2 linked regions of the Nothobranchius furzeri genome follow. The protein of the gene in region 1 binds, or shares a complex with, the protein of each later gene. Links are inferred from orthologs where the notes say so. Each region holds a gene or a part of one and is shown on either strand. Other genes may lie near its edges.

Region 1 (7,955 bases):
GACAAACCAGGAACAGAACGGTTCAGCCCAGAACTGAAACTGTGGGCCAGTGTCAGCCTGCTGAACCGTTTCTATTCCTGAGTTCCTGAGAGGTCACGGACTGCTCTGGAACATGTTACATATGTATGCATGTACAACAAATGTGTGATTCAGGGCTCAGGGCAAAGTAGACCCGAACATTACCTTTATAGTACTCAGCTCTCCTCCATCACACCTTCTGTTCTCCTCCTAGGGGATTTCAACATTCACATCGACTCTCCTAAATCTACGCTCACAGCCGACTTCCTGGACATTCTAAACTGCTTCTACCCGACTCAACACATAAACTGCCCCACACACAGACATGGTCACACTCTGGACCTAGTTTGTACTACATAATCAACAACTTTGTTATTACCAATAATAATGTGAGCCCAATGTTCAATCAATCTGTGAAATGACAATGTTATTACTTGATATTATAATCCTGTGATCAGTAGTATTTTACAAGTTAATATAATCTTGGACATTTGCACTAGACACTAATGACACGTAATGCTAAAGTCACACGACACATTTCCTTTTGTCTGACCCAATCAGAACCTTCGTTTCTGGCTAGGCGTGGTTATCTGTGGTGTTTGTATAAACCCTTTTTTGCACGTCAAATTCTGATTCGCCAGTAAACCAAAATATGATAATTATAAAAACTATCCCACGCCACCTTTTCTTTAGTTCAAAGCGTTCTAGAGAAGTCTCGGACCGGCCATCCGGACTTCCTCCTCAGCCATAAAGAACCTCGACAAGCTCTGTTGCAAGTTACACCTGACCGCAACGGTTCCTTCAGAATAAAAGCTGAACCTCACGACCCCTTCAGGGTCTCGGAGATGCCAGTGATAACCTGTCGTGACCTGGAAGCATTCCAAGACTAGTTTGGTCGGCACCGCTGCTTTTCTACCGGCTTCTGTACCAAAGAGGGTCCACGAGGACCTCGACATTCTGGATCTGATCGGAGGCTTCCCCCGGGGTACGCAGACCGACAGATGGCGTTTCATGTGTGTTATAAATCTCCTCCTAAGTTTAGAGCGAAACATTCACTCCCACTCAGACCTAAATGCTTCTCCGGATCCGCTGGTTCTGATAACATTCCACACACACACACACCATCATCATTTCAAGTCTCACTCCACTTTAGTTCCATCAGTACACAGAGTGTTTAAGTTAGTCTTGTTTAAATTGTGTAGAAATAAATTTCTTAACTATTTTAAACCTGACTCTCTCTCTCTTTCCTTAGAGTTAATACGAAGTGTCACTTAATCCCTGCAATAAAAAGTTCTGATCTTCTGGTTAAAATAGTCAAAGATCCATCAGATTGATATTTCATATTTCTAAGGAATCCCACATTTTATGGTTCATAAGTAAGATGTAAACGACCCATCCTTTACACCTGACTTAACCAAGCTCGTCTCATCCATGAAATTCACCACCTGCAATTTAGACCCAATCCCCTCTCCCCTCATCAGAACATGTCTTCCCTCTCTCTCCCCTCTCATTATCGGTATCATAAACACCTCCCTAACCACTGGATCTGTCCCACCTTCACTCAAACTCGCCTTCATTACTCCCATTCTGAAAAAACCCGGTCTGAACCCAGACTCTATGGATGGTTTCAGACCCATCTCTAACCTCCCACTACTCTCAAAGATCCTGGAACGCTCAGTCGCCACTCAACTACAGCAATAACTACAAACCTGCCAACTCTTTGAAACTTCCCAACCCGGCTTCCGTGCTCATCATAGCTTTTGTCATTAGACAAAAGGGGAGGAGGACATTTTTCTTAAGGAGGCGAGCGGCTCCGAGTGCCAACGTGTCAGCAGGTGAGTGGTTGAGCCAGGTGGAGGTGTGGCGAGACTCAGCAAGAGTCCAGTGCAGTGAAGCCACGTAGAACTGCACAGACTACGTCACCCTGTAGCTCAGCCAACAGCTGTGGCTGATTCTAATTCAATGTGGAGCAGAGTTTTAACCTGAAGATGGAGATATCTGCGGTTTTGGGCTGAAATTTTTAATTTACAGTAAGTTGCACTAAACTGCCAAAATAATGAATACACGTGTGTACAGCACTATTAGACACTCATCTGTACAGGTTACCAGTAAAAAACGTTCATTTAGGTGTTACTCGCTCTTTAAAGCAGAAATCCAGTGATATTTACAAAAGGGCACCATCTAGAGGCAGAAAAATGTATTGCACCGTAAGCCCCTCTCGCTACTTCCATGATTACGGCGGAAGCAACGTCTTTTATTCATGAATGTGCACCGCTAGTCGGCCAACAGAGCTTAAACACGTTGTTTTACAATTATTATTTTCACCTTGTGCTGTTTATTAATTCATCTATTTAACATATTCCCATCTCACCCTCCGCGGGTGGTCTCATCCTTCAAAGCTTGTGTCCTCTACCAGAGGTCTGGGAGCTTCAGTGTTCTGCAGTATCTTAGATTTCCTTTGAACTGCACTTTTGTGGACTTGCTCGTCCTCTACCGCCTTATGGATGTTTCCCACTTTAACCTCGGGGCTTCCAGTCCACACTCTGTACACCAGTGGTTCTCAATCCTGGTCCTGGATGGTCGGTATCCAGGGTGTTGTAGTTTTAACCCTGTTTCAACACACCTGATTTCAATCAGCAGGTGATTTACAAGCACCTGCAGAGTCTGGTGAGCTGCTGCACAGGTGATTCAACCACTGAATCAAGTGTGTTGGAGCAGAGAAACCGCTTACCGGCCCTCCAGGACCAGGATTGAGAACCACTGCTGTACACGATGCCAGCCACTTGGTTGTGGCGTTCCATTTAAGTTTTCCCTGCCAGCATCTTATACCCTGCAGTTATGTGGTGGAACGTCTCAGGAGATACTTCAGTTATACACACACACACACACTTTTAAAGACTTACTTGTCCATAAGAAGTATCGCCAACTATGCACCTATCTAAGTCTGTCCTCAAATGTATGTACACCTGTGATAACATCTGTACATGAGCAGATGTCTAACGCTATTGGCTAATGCTGAACTGGCTCTACGGGACGGGGGTGGGCTTATTGTCTATGTTACATTAAAGGCTAAGACGATGAGATGAGTCCTGAGAGTCTGAGTTGTGACGACATGGTCCTGCTTTTCTGACAAGACCTGACCAAAACATCACAACCTGAAGCTCTTACACTTTCGGGTAGGGATGCAACGATACCACTTTTTTCTAAACCGATACGATACCGATACTTGGATCTGAGTACTCGCAGATACCAATTACCGATACCGACACTTCTACCACACAAAAAAATGCAATGATTTGGAATACAGATTTTATTTTCTTCTCTGCTTTCAACAGGAAAAGACTTTGAGGTAGATAAAAAGTAAAATATATGAATAGAAATCATCCCAAAAATAAAATATTAGGTGGACAGAAATGACAAGTTACAGTGAAGCCATTTTCAAGCAACTGCATTGGTATCGGTTCCTGGTATCGGTTAACTTTTACCGATACAGATAATAGTATCGGTATCTGCACCGATACCGATACCAGTATCGGTGCATCCCTACTTTCGGGGAAAGTTTCATGGTAAAAACAATGATAATATTATTAGAATATTATTATAATAGTAACTATAATTATCCAATAAAAAAACTTTATAAAACAAGCTGATGAGATTCGCTTCCCTCTAAATGAGCTACTCTCAGACTTGCATGCATTAAAAAGATTTAAATAAATGTGAATATTTAAAGCAGATACTTTCTAATCTTTTAAAGTTTTACTTAAACCCATAACTTTAATCTAACCTACCTCTTCATCAGGCCTGCTTGAACCAGCAGCTGAGAGAGGTCCTGGCTGACTGCACATGGTGACCCCACCATGAACTGTAGAATGACCTCCCAGCGCTCCATGGCGTAGCGGTCTAGACTTTCTATGTCCCGTGCATGACGATCTGGACCCAGGGCACTCTGCTCTTCAGCCCATGCGGTGCCACTGTTTGATCAAAACAAGTGGTTCACACAAATGGATCAGACTTTTCTGGAAGAGCAGCTTCAGCTCTGCTGAAGCAGGAAGTCCTCAAGCCACTCACCCCCCCAGCAAAGCAGTCCTCAGGTTGTCTTTGAAAACTGGATTTAAAGTGTAACCCTGCAGGCCACCCTGCAGCTGCTGACTGTGCCAGAGACGGAGACCAGTCAGGACAGACACGCACTCATCATGGTCCCTGCAGAAGACACAGAGCTGGAGGAAATCAGAACCCACCTGTGACTGGGTCCCTGTTCAGGCCCACTACAGAGACGTAGGATCAGGAGACACCAGATGAGCAACTGACCTTTGACCGTCCTTTTTCATCCACAGAGCTACGGCTGCCTGGGGAAGTGGCTGATCCAAGAACAGCATGCGTATCACATAGTTCTGGGCTAGCTTGGGAAGTTCCCTGTAGGAGACCAGACAGCGTAGTGAGGAAGAGAAGAGGAGACAAACCCAGACCTGATCAGGCTCACCTGTAGACCGCCAGACAGGTTGCTGGGTGGTTGAAGAGCCGGTCTAGGACATCAGGACTCAGCTCCTTCATGTACTCATGCAGGTTCTTACACTGGAGTTGGACCCGGAGCTTCATACCTGCAACAGAAACCCACTTGAGTTTGTACTGAAGAGAATGGAGCGAGACTAGAACTCCGCCAAGATAACCGCTCCATGACAGAACGTCTTGGCAGCATCCCATAATCTATAAATCCAAAACAGTGATCCAGGATCAGGTGATGAAGGCAAACACACTCCAGTAGACAGGAGTTCCGGTCTGATTATCATGGACAAACTATCTAGCCTGGTAGCTGAAGGTGTCTGAAGTGGAATGTAAACACAAACACCTTGTGTCTGTCTGGCGTGTTGTCTTCGAGTCCCTGACACGTGACTTTGCTTCGTGGGACAGATGCAACAATGGCGTTTTTTAAACAAACGTTTAGCTTTTACAAATTCACATCAGACTCTTAACTGAATCCGCAAAGAGATTCCCCGTTTCTAACAAACACATCGAGGGATTAGGACCACGATGTACACCGGTCCAGAGAGCCGAATCTGAACGGAACTCTGGAAACTAAATCAGCTGTGAGCTTCCTGTTCGGGAAAGACGTTTACCTTCAGCTAGCTGCGGAACACCGTCAGAATCAGAACTCCAAACAGCACCTCGAACGAGACCGGGATACTGGCGTCAAGTGGACATTTTCTGAGACCACGTGACATAGACGCGCGCGTACCTATTGGTCCAGCTTTTCTTCTACGCTTTTATTTTGGTAGCTAGCGAGCAGATTTTTTTTTAATTAGAGAAGATAACATACAGGTGCTGGCCAGTAAATTAGAATATCATCAAAAGGTTGAAAATATTTCAGTAATTCCATTCAAAACGTGAAACTTGTACATTATATTCATGCAATGCACACAGACCAATGTATTTCCCATGTTCATTACATTTAAATTTGATATTCATAAGTGACAACTAATGAAAACTCCAAATTTGGTATCTCAAAAAATTAGAATATTCTGAAAAGGCTGAATATAGAAGACACCTGCTGCCACTCTAATCAGCTGATTTACTCAAAACACCTGCAAAGGCCTTTAAAAGGTCCCTCAGTCTTGTTTTGAAGGCACCACAATCATGGGGAAGACTTCTGACTTAACAGCTGTCCAAAAGACAATCATTGACACCTTGCACAAGGAGGGCAAGACACAAAAGGTGATTGCTAAAGAAGCTGGCTGTTCGCAGAGCTCTGTGTCCAAGCACATTAACAGACAGGCGAAGGGACGGAAAAAATGTGGTAGAAAAAAGTGTACAAGCTCTAGGGATAACCGCACCCTGCAGAGAATTGTGACGACAAACCCATTCAAAAATGTGGGGGAGATCCACAAAGAGTGGACTGCAGCTGGAGTCAGCGCTTCAAGAACCACCACGAGGAGACTCATGAAAGACATGGGATTCAGGTGTCGCATTCCGTGTGTCAAGCCACTCTTGAACAAGAAACAGCGCAAGAAGCGTCTCGCCTGGGCCAAGGACAAAAAGGACTGGACTGATGCTGAGTGGTCCAAAGTTATGTTTTCTGATGAAAGCAAGTTCTGCATTTCCTTTGGAAATCAAGGACCCAGAGTCTGGAGGAAGAGCGGAGAAGCACAGAATCCACGTTGCATGAGGTCCAGTGTAAAGTTTCCACCGTCAGTGATGGTGTGGGGTGCCATGTCATCTGCCGGTGTTGGCCCACTCTGTTTCCTGAGGTCCAGGGTCAATGCAGCCGTCTACCAGGAAGTTTTAGAGCACTTCATGCTTCCTGCTGCTGACCAACTTTATGGGGATGCAGACTTCACCTTTCAACAGGACTTGGCACCTGCACACAGTGCCAAAACCACCGGCACCTGGTTCAAGGACCATGGTATCCCTGTCCTTGATTGGCCAGCAAACTCGCCTGACCTTAACCCCATAGAAAATCTATGGGGTATTGTGAAGCGGAGGATGCAATACGCTAGACCCAACAATGCAGAGGAGCTGAAGACGACTATCAGAGCAACCTGGGCTCTCATAACACCTGAGCAGTGCCACAGACTGATCGAGTCCATGCCACGCCGCATTACTGCAGTTATTGAGGCAAAAGGAGCCCCGACTAAGTATTGAGTGCTATACATGCACATTCTTTTCATGTTCATTCTTTTCAGTTGGCCAACATTAGAGAAACAAACATTTTTTCATTGGCCTTTAGAATATTCTAATTTTCTGAGATACCAGATTTGATGTTTTCATTGGTTGTCACCTATAAATATCAAATTTAAATGTAATGAACATTGGAAATACATTGGTCTGTGTGCATTGCATGAATATAATGTACAAGTTTCACGTTTTGAATGGAATTACTGAAATATTTTCAACCTTTTGATGATATTCTAATTTACTGGCCAGCACCTGTACAAACAAAATGCACCTTACATTATATGTTCAAAAGATAATCATTACTTACATATTAAACATTTTCACGTATATGAAAAAAAAAGAAAATCTAAAGATGGGGTCACATCATTAACAGATTATTAACTTACTAACTCAAAATCTTCTACAAGGAAATAAAAAAAATCAGCCTTTTTCTTTTTAACTAAATTTAAAGATTTAACTAATACTTTTAAGTCGTTTTTCCAATAGGCGAGTGTTGGTTTGGTCTTAAAAATCGACATTTATGTATAAATTGTTTGCACAAAATTAATAACACATTAACACCATAATTAACTTTCTTTTTTTTCAAAAACACTCCAAACATTATCCTATTTAAGGTAAATGGGGCAATTTGAATCCCACTAGAACAAAGCCAGGCATGAAAATCTAACCAAAATATTTGTATAAAATTGCACAAAAAATAGATGGTCTAAGTCCTCCTCTTCTGTTTCACACAATACACAATTACCAGCTTCTATATTGAATCTATTCCCAAGGAGTCTATTTGTTGGGTAAATTTTATTCAAAAATTTAAATTGGACTTCTTTCCCTTTAGGAGGGATAGGGAAGGTGATATAATCACTTCTTATTTTTTCAATTTCTTCCCTTTGGAAATCTTTTAATATGTAATTAGTTCTAAGTAAATTTGGATAAAAAAGATACCTTAATGACGATCTTAGAAGCTTATTATTGCATTTATCATCACAAAATCGAATATCATCTACCGTAAATCCTCCAATACAGGCCGGTATTCAATTAAAGGCCGGGTCTCCAATTTTGGCCGGTGTCGGAGTCGGCGGAGGTGAATAATGGCCGGTCTCTTATTGTGGCCGGGTGGAATGTGGTAACAAGCAAGTACGGGGGCGGTTGTGTCATCGTCTCACTTTTGATTTGCCAGTGATAGACCGCGAGGGTAACTTTAACCGTGCAGAGACGAAGAAGAGGCGAAAATTTGATATCAAGTTCAAAGAGAACGTGCTGATTATGCTGCA
Region 2 (8,069 bases), on another chromosome or scaffold:
CAGCTGATTTGCTTGGTTGATATCTTATTTTCATGCTAAAATGTCACTAATAACATCAGCTGATGCACAACATTTCTGAAGCTGAATCAGTTTTTGAACGCGGAATTTAACCAACTGTTAAATCTTAATTTCGTGCAGGGCTCAGTGTGAAAATATGACATATCAAGGAACTTACAACCTAATAAATATTCAAAACTGGTAAATAAAAAAAATTTTTAGTTGACAGAATCAGTTTTTAGAGCATTTGTTATGCAGATGCTATTAAGGAAAGCAAATATACATTTAAATGAAAATCTACAGCAGCACTGGGCTGCCCAGGGATGTGCCTGACTTAAATTGGCTTTATTAAGGAGGAATATCGGCCAATAATCGTATTTTAAAAATGGTATCAACCAGATATATCGACTGACTGATATATTTGTTTACCCCTATTGGTAACAAATAAATATTGATTGACTGACTTAAGCTGCATGAAAAAAAAAATACATACTTGGCAATCCCATGGACACACACACTTGTATAACTGCTCACAGACAGCACATGATGAAGAGTGTTGTAACTACAGAACATGTGGGTGAACTGAAATTACAATCGTGTGCTTTTATGAGCAAGCTGATCCTTCTCAAAAGACCCTCTAGGTGCATTATGTTCGTTTGCCTTGCATTTTAAATTATTCTTAGATTTATCTATGTAACTTTGAAAGCCCGGCTTAGTTGCATTTCTGCTGTGAAATAATTTCTTTATGACATGATCATTTTCAGCCTGAAGCTCCCTGCTGGCATTTCTTCACACGTTATTACCAGAGTCGCCAGCCGTTTTGTTTAAAAAAAACATATTTGTCAGTCTAAAATAAAAGGATACATATAAAGTCAGCAGCCTCGGTGTCTTGGATGATTTTAATGACTGTAAAAGGAATTTCTCCAGCTTAGATTTCAACTGTGGGATCCATGAATCCTAAACACAAAAATATTAATAAGCAAAAGAAAAATGTAAATTCAGTTTGAATGTTGCAGTCGCTGATGGGCGAAAAATACAGAAAGAATCATTTCTGAGTACCTGAAAAAGATCTTTGAAGGACGGGTGAACGGTGGGGTTGGGAACAAAAGGCAAAGCGTAGTAAGGCAAGAACTCAGTGGTCTGACTCAAAGCTGCACCCCGAGTTTCAAGGTACTGCTTAAAGAGGGAAATCCTCTCCTCAAACTCAGCTTGGTCCTGGAAAGCGATTTGAAATTAAATGTTTAAACTATCAGTCAGACAAATTTCCTGTCTACAAACATGCTCAAAATAAATCAGGAAGCATCTTTGCCACATGACTTTTTTCCTTCCTAAAGGGTGGCTTAATTATTTTAACTAAAGATGATGTTCACATAAGGGATTATGCATCATAGTGTAAGTTAGACAACTACTGTTATTTAGTGTTGTTCAAGGGTACTACTTTTGAGAAAGCATGTGGCGCAGCTTGGTGGACACTTTGAAAACAACACATTTGGTTGTATTTTGGATTTCCTCTTGGTAATAAAACCAATACTTACTCGTCTATTAGGGTGTCTTCTCAGTGGATAGATGGAAAAGTGGATATGGAGGTAGAACTCAAGGCTTTGTGCTTCAGTGTCTGTGTGTTTGACCTCAGAGGGAATATTCTCTGTCCACAGCTCAAAAAACACCTTGTGGTCTCCGTCATCAAATGAGCTAAGAAGGTCCTTCTAGAAACGTCACATTCAGAAGGAGAAAATCGCACAAAACAAGAACTCAGAGAAAATATTCAGGTAAATATTCAAAATCAGCTGGACCATCTTGGCATTTGCATACTTGTTAGGCTGTGTACGTCCTTTTGTAGGATTACTGGAACTACATAAACGTCTCCCCACTATGACAGAAAACACACCAACATAGCAGATTTCCATGTTGAAGAAGAGCATTGTTTACCTGAATGACACGAGTCTTAGAGTCTCTTAGAGCATTTCCTCTCGGTTTTGAGACCAGCTTGCCTTTCCTTTTGCATTCCTTGTCAAAAACCTGAACAGTCTCCTCAAACTCCTCAAACGTGAGGTACTGCAACAAACAAACAAACATGATTCAACTTAAACAGTGAAGGATGACACTGAGTTTTGGTGCATTTCATTCATTTTCAGCGAACATCAATATTGCTGTGACCCAGATATCTTCTCTACCTCTTTGATCATCCCAAGAAGATCAGCTTCTGTTGCCAAGACGTCCCCCATCTTGGCTTCCTCACTGGAACTCATGTGTGTACCGAAAACATTTAATACCCCTTTAGACGGGAACGATTTCTGCTTTCATTCAAAAACGTTTATAGATCTAGGGTTCAAGCTAAAAGGTGCAAGAACAAAAGAGCAAAATACATAAGTAAAAACTTAATTCTATGAGCAGTAGTAAAAATAACCAAACACCAAAACGCACAACGGAATGCTAGTGTAACTTCGGCAGGCATGTGGGGTTTTATACCATCTTAAATGGTTTAACATCAAGATTAGCAACAACTTATGAAGCTACAAGCTATCTAATTAGTTGACACACGACAGGACATTAACATGGCTCCTACCTTATTCGCACGTAATTTGATTTGGGAGAATTGACGTACAAACAAGTTTGTGATGCGTTAACAAGTAAACGAGATCCATAAAGTACATTTTTGCTCGCTTTGTCGGACAGTGAACGAAAAAATAGCTGGCAACCACAAACAGGAGGGACGCTAAAAATACCTAGCAACCAGAGGGTCACCGGAAAGTAAATGTGAGTGTCGTAAACTAAAACTAACTAAATGTATTATATTTTACAAGAAAATATATTGAATAACCTTAAGTTATGAGGCATGCGATTTAGAAAAACAAAAGTAAACGATTGTAAATTATAACAACGCACAGACAAACGTAATTGTTGACCTTTTTTAGGATACATTATGCAATTTTAATGGTAAAACTATTATTTTAGTACGAGTATTATATTTTTACAATTTCTTATGTTTTACTTTGCTTTTTAACATAAACATTTATTTTTTCATTTTATTTTGTTTTATGAGAAGTACTTCCCGTGTCAAAGGTTAATCACGTTGTTTCTGCGCGCCACAGATTGGCTAGATAGCAATGAATTAAATTACTCTTAAATAACAAATCTAGCTTATGTTTTGAACAGTCGCTGTTGTCCTAAAGAATCGAGTAGTTGCGAGGCTTCTGTGTTTGCATTACGACATCTAAAAATAATTTGGGGTAAGTGCAACAAATGAATTAACAGTATGCTAAAGCTAGCTGTTAGCCAAAATAGGAGATTCAACGTGGAAGATAAAACTTGCCAACTTTAACTGACGTATGTCCTAGTCTTATTTTTATATAAAAGTATTTTATGGTAATATGCTTATAGCAGTTGATTTCTTGTGCTACCTAACGTTTCATTGCTTTTTAAAAGTTACTATAGTTTATTACGTTTTATTTTTTGTTGACAGGTTGTTCAAGTCATAACAGGGGCTTAAACATTTGATCCCCTGCACAAATTCACAGAGTGGGCCAACGATGGCTGGAATTTTGTTTGAAGATATCTTTGATGTGAAAGACATTGATCCAGATGGCAAGAAGTTTGACAGAGGTACTTATGAAGTACAATAACGTATTGGGGTGACTTATTTAATTATTCCATCATATTGTTTTTGTCGTATTGACATAATGCACAGGTATATTGACTCATGAGTAATCATTTATTCTACGTTTTTATTTGCCCACGTTAAGGCAGACTTTACATAGTGATGTTAAAGAAAATCTGGCATCCTGAAGTTAAAAGCTAATATAAAATTGAAAGACATTCAGCTCATTAAGAGAGCAGTTAAAAAACCAACTTGCTTATTGGATTTAGTTTATACAGGTGCTGGCCAGTAAATTAGAATATCATCAAAAGGTTGAAAATATTTCAGTAATTCCATTCAAAACGTGAAACTTGTACATTATATTCATGCAATGCACACAGACCAATGTATTTCCAATGTTCATTACATTTAAATTAGATATTCATAAGTGACAACTAATGAAAACTCCAAATTTGGTATCTCAAAAAATTAGAATATTCTGAAAAGGCTGAATATAGAAGACACCTGCTGCCACTCTAATCAGCTGATTTACTCAAAACACCTGCAAAGGCCTTTAAAAGGTCCCTCAGTCTTGTTTTGAAGGCACCACAATCATGGGGAAGACTTCTGACTTAACAGCTGTCCAAAAGACAATCATTGACACCTTGCACAAGGAGGGCAAGACACAAAAGGTGATTGCTAAAGAAGCTGGCTGTTCGCAGAGCTCTGTGTCCAAGCACATTAACAGACAGGCGAAGGGACGGATAAAATGTGGTAGAAAAAAGTGTACAAGCTCTAGGGATAACCGCACCCTGCAGAGAATTGTGACGACAAACCCATTCAAAAATGTGGGGGAGATCCACAAAGAGTGGACTGCAGCTGGAGTCAGCGCTTCAAGAACCACCACGAGGAGACTCATGAAAGACATGGGATTCAGGTGTCGCATTCCGTGTGTCAAGCCACTCTTGAACAAGAAACAGCGCAAGAAGCGTCTCGCCTGGGCCAAGGACAAAAAGGACTGGACTGATGCTGAGTGGTCCAAAGTTATGTTTTCTGATGAAAGCAAGTTCTGCATTTCCTTTGGAAATCAAGGACCCAGAGTCTGGAGGAAGAGCGGAGAAGCACAGAATCCACGTTGCATGAGGTCCAGTGTAAAGTTTCCACCGTCAGTGATGGTGTGGGGTGCCATGTCATCTGCCGGTGTTGGCCCACTCTGTTTCCTGAGGTCCAGGGTCAATGCAGCCGTCTACCAGGAAGTTTTAGAGCACTTCATGCTTCCTGCTGCTGACCAACTTTATGGGGATGCAGACTTCACCTTTCAACAGGACTTGGCACCTGCACACAGTGCCAAAACCACCAGCACCTGGTTCAAGGACCATGGTATCCCTGTCCTTGATTGGCCAGCAAACTCGCCTGACCTTAACCCCATAGAAAATCTATGGGGTATTGTGAAGCGGAGGATGCAATACGCTAGACCCAACAATGCAGAGGAGCTGAAGACGACTATCAGAGCAACCTGGGCTCTCATAACACCTGAGCAGTGCCACAGACTGATCGAGTCCATGCCACGCCGCATTACTGCAGTTATTGAGGCAAAAGGAGCCCCAACTAAGTATTGAGTGCTATACATGCACATTCTTTTCATGTTCATTCTTTTCAGTTGGCCAACATTAGAGAAACAAACATTTTTTCATTGGCCTTTAGAATATTCTAATTTTCTGAGATACCAGATTTGATGTTTTCATTGGTTGTCACCTATAAATATCAAAATTAAACGTAATAAACATCGGAAATACATTGGTCTGTGTGCATTGCATGAATATAATGTACAAGTTTCACGTTTTGAATGGAATTACTGAAATATTTTCAACCTTTTGATGATATTCTAATTTACTGGCCAGCACCTGTATAACCTACAGCAGACAATGTTTATAATCTACTGACAAATTCTCACCTATTGCAGTGTCTCGTCTGCACTGTGAGAGTGAATCTTTTAAGATGGACCTCATCTTGGACGTGAACATTCAGATCTATCCTGTGGATCTTGGTGAGAGCGTAAGCCCTTTTACCGAGGGCACTCTTATTTAGTTAATTCTTAATACAATAAAAATCTGACTTATAACATATTATAAAGGTGACAAGTTTAGACTGGTGATTGCCAGTACTTTGTATGAAGATGGAACACCGGATGATGGAGAGTACAATCCTCAGGATGATCGACCATCTCGGTGAGACATTTTTTGCACTCTTCCATCATCTCGTAGTGTGTGTGATCTTTTGATGTTTGAGGTTTGGGCTCTCTGTTTACATTTTCATTCATAGAGCGGACCAGTTCGAGTATGTGATGTATGGAAAAGTCTACAAAATTGAAGGAGATGAGACTTCAACAGAAGCTGCAACTCGCCTGTGAGTAAATTTCTTATTGCTGCACAATTTTTACAACAAATAAAATAAAATGATCTAAGTGTTGAAGTTAAGGAACAATTATAATTTTTTTAATGATCATGAATTTAAGATCGGACATGTATTGTTAATCTGCTTCCACCGATTTGCTTGATGTTTCAGATCTGCTTATGTTTCTTATGGAGGCCTCCTCATGAGGCTGCAGGGCGATGCCAACAATCTTCATGGTTTTGAAGTAGACTCCAGAGTCTACCTCCTCATGAAAAAACTGGCTTTCTGAACTAAAAAATCCCCCCCCCAACATACACACACAGATTGTTTCAAAGTCATGGTGAAACAATCACTAATACTCGGGTCTGGAGCAGCTGCCAGATGGAATACTGGACTAGTTTTATTATTATTTTTCCATAATGTTGTTTCTAGGACAGAGAAGATTTTTCATGAAAAAAAAACTTTTACAACTTCTAAATGCATGCAAATTGTAAATAAAGATTTCTTTTGTAAAATGATTCATTCATTTATTTAGAAGGATCAGTGCACATCAAATAATTTTTATCGAAGTATCAATACAGGTAAATATGCTGGATTATGTGACACATATAAATTTACATTTGCAGTCCCTATAGGCAGGGCGCACAAAAGCACAGCAAACAGTAGTTACAAAAGGGACACGTCACAGACAGTACTGTGCAAAAGTTTTAGGCAGGTGTAAAACTGCTATAAACAAAGAATGCTTTCAGAAATAAAATGATTGGTTGTTTTTATCAATTAAAAAAATGCTAAGTGAATGACCCCAAACATCCAGCATAAGACCTTAACAACTATCTTCAGCATAAAGAACAAGAAGTCCTGGAAGTGAGGGTCTGACCCCCACAGAGCCCTATTTTAACACAGTGGGGTGTGTCTGGGATCACATGAAGAGACAGAAGGTTGCGAGAAAACCTACATCCACAGAACATCTGTGGTTAGTTATCCAAGATGTCTGGAACAACCTACCAGCCCAGTTCCTTAAACAGCTGTGTTCAAGTGTCCCTAGAACAACTGATGCTGTTTTGAAGGCAGAGTGGTCACACCAGATACGTGTCTCTTTTGTTCATGAACTCTTTTATGTCGATTGATGAAAATAAACGATTAACACTTCCATTGTTGAAAGCATTCTGTTTGCTGCATTTTGTCATACCTGCCTAAAACTTTTGCTCAGAGCTGTGCACATTACATTTCATACATTAGCAAAGGTCAAAGGTTACTTGACTGCATTCAGCCAGTGTTTCAGCTGACTTGAAAGCTTGTGCTGTTGAGCACTCCCCTATAAGGAGCAGGAGACTTACAGATATTTATGGGGGCATTTTGTCCAGAGGCTGTTTTTCTGTAAGCGACCTCACGGACCGAGACAGCTGTGACCCCCCCCTTTTTTTTTCTTTTATGGTCGCAGGATGGTCGCGACACTAGGCCAGCATGGCGCAGAGCGAGGTCTGATCAACGCTGCTTTCAGCTGTAATTTTGCTTTATTCATTTTCTGGAGTTTTTTTCCATTGACCCATCTCAGCAAAGCCTGAGGTGGACTTTAAACATGCTAACTTTTGTTTGCTCGTTATCTGCAAAACATGGGGAGTTGCTATAGTAATGATTTTAGAAATATGTTGCAAATGGCTTTCGTAACTTACAAGTCAGAGATTTCTTAACACTGCAAAAAGTGCCTCTGACTACTAAATTTTGGGTGTAATCTCCCAAGTGCTGATGCTGATATTTGATCATGACTGTTGGTCGAATCCCATCACAGTGGTATTTGAATGTCCATGGAATCTCGATGATAGCAAATGGAAATGTGAAAACTCAGGAGGCAGAAAATTGAATTAAAGGCGAAGAAGCAGCTTTTGTGCTTTAAACAGACCACTCCGTGCCTGCAGTAATGGATGTCACAGGATGGAGAAGCACGCTCACAATGACTCACGTATCCATGCATAGGAGTAAATATGTGTGTAACTTATCAGTTATACATCATAACAGTTTCATATTTTAAGCATTCTTGTGTGGATGCTTTTTTCTGTAGGATACTTGATTTATGCAGTGGTTTGTGTGCAAACACAAAAAT

The links. The genes of interacting proteins can lie anywhere in the genome.
Region 2: gtf2h4 (region 1) and polr2h share a complex: the UniProt entries of both Homo sapiens proteins name them as parts of the TBP-based Pol II pre-initiation complex. The link is inferred for Nothobranchius furzeri from reciprocal best matches to the Homo sapiens genes GTF2H4 and POLR2H.

What each region holds. Positions count from the first base shown.
Region 1 is NC_091751.1:25,553,940-25,561,894, reverse strand, and holds the start of gtf2h4 (general transcription factor IIH subunit 4), read right to left. Parts: upstream 5,256-7,955; 5' UTR 5,133-5,255; intron 4,617-5,132; 5' UTR 4,615-4,616; coding exon 4,499-4,614; intron 4,432-4,498; coding exon 4,327-4,431; intron 4,219-4,326; coding exon 4,087-4,218; intron 3,990-4,086; coding exon 3,807-3,989; intron 1-3,806. UniProt on the Homo sapiens protein: Component of the general transcription and DNA repair factor IIH (TFIIH) core complex, which is involved in general and transcription-coupled nucleotide excision repair (NER) of damaged DNA and, when complexed to CAK, in RNA transcription by RNA polymerase II.
Region 2 is NC_091748.1:62,880,768-62,888,836, reverse strand, and holds polr2h (DNA-directed RNA polymerases I, II, and III subunit RPABC3), read left to right. Parts: upstream 1-3,054; 5' UTR 3,055-3,227; intron 3,228-3,460; exon of another isoform or gene 3,461-3,515; 5' UTR 3,516-3,527; coding exon 3,528-3,600; intron 3,601-5,537; coding exon 5,538-5,621; intron 5,622-5,708; coding exon 5,709-5,802; intron 5,803-5,896; coding exon 5,897-5,980; intron 5,981-6,139; coding exon 6,140-6,257; 3' UTR 6,258-6,486; downstream 6,487-8,069. Other genes in the region: lisH domain-containing protein ARMC9, read right to left, coding at 862-954, 1,057-1,212, 1,533-1,703, 1,927-2,052, 2,172-2,246. UniProt on the Homo sapiens protein: DNA-dependent RNA polymerase catalyzes the transcription of DNA into RNA using the four ribonucleoside triphosphates as substrates.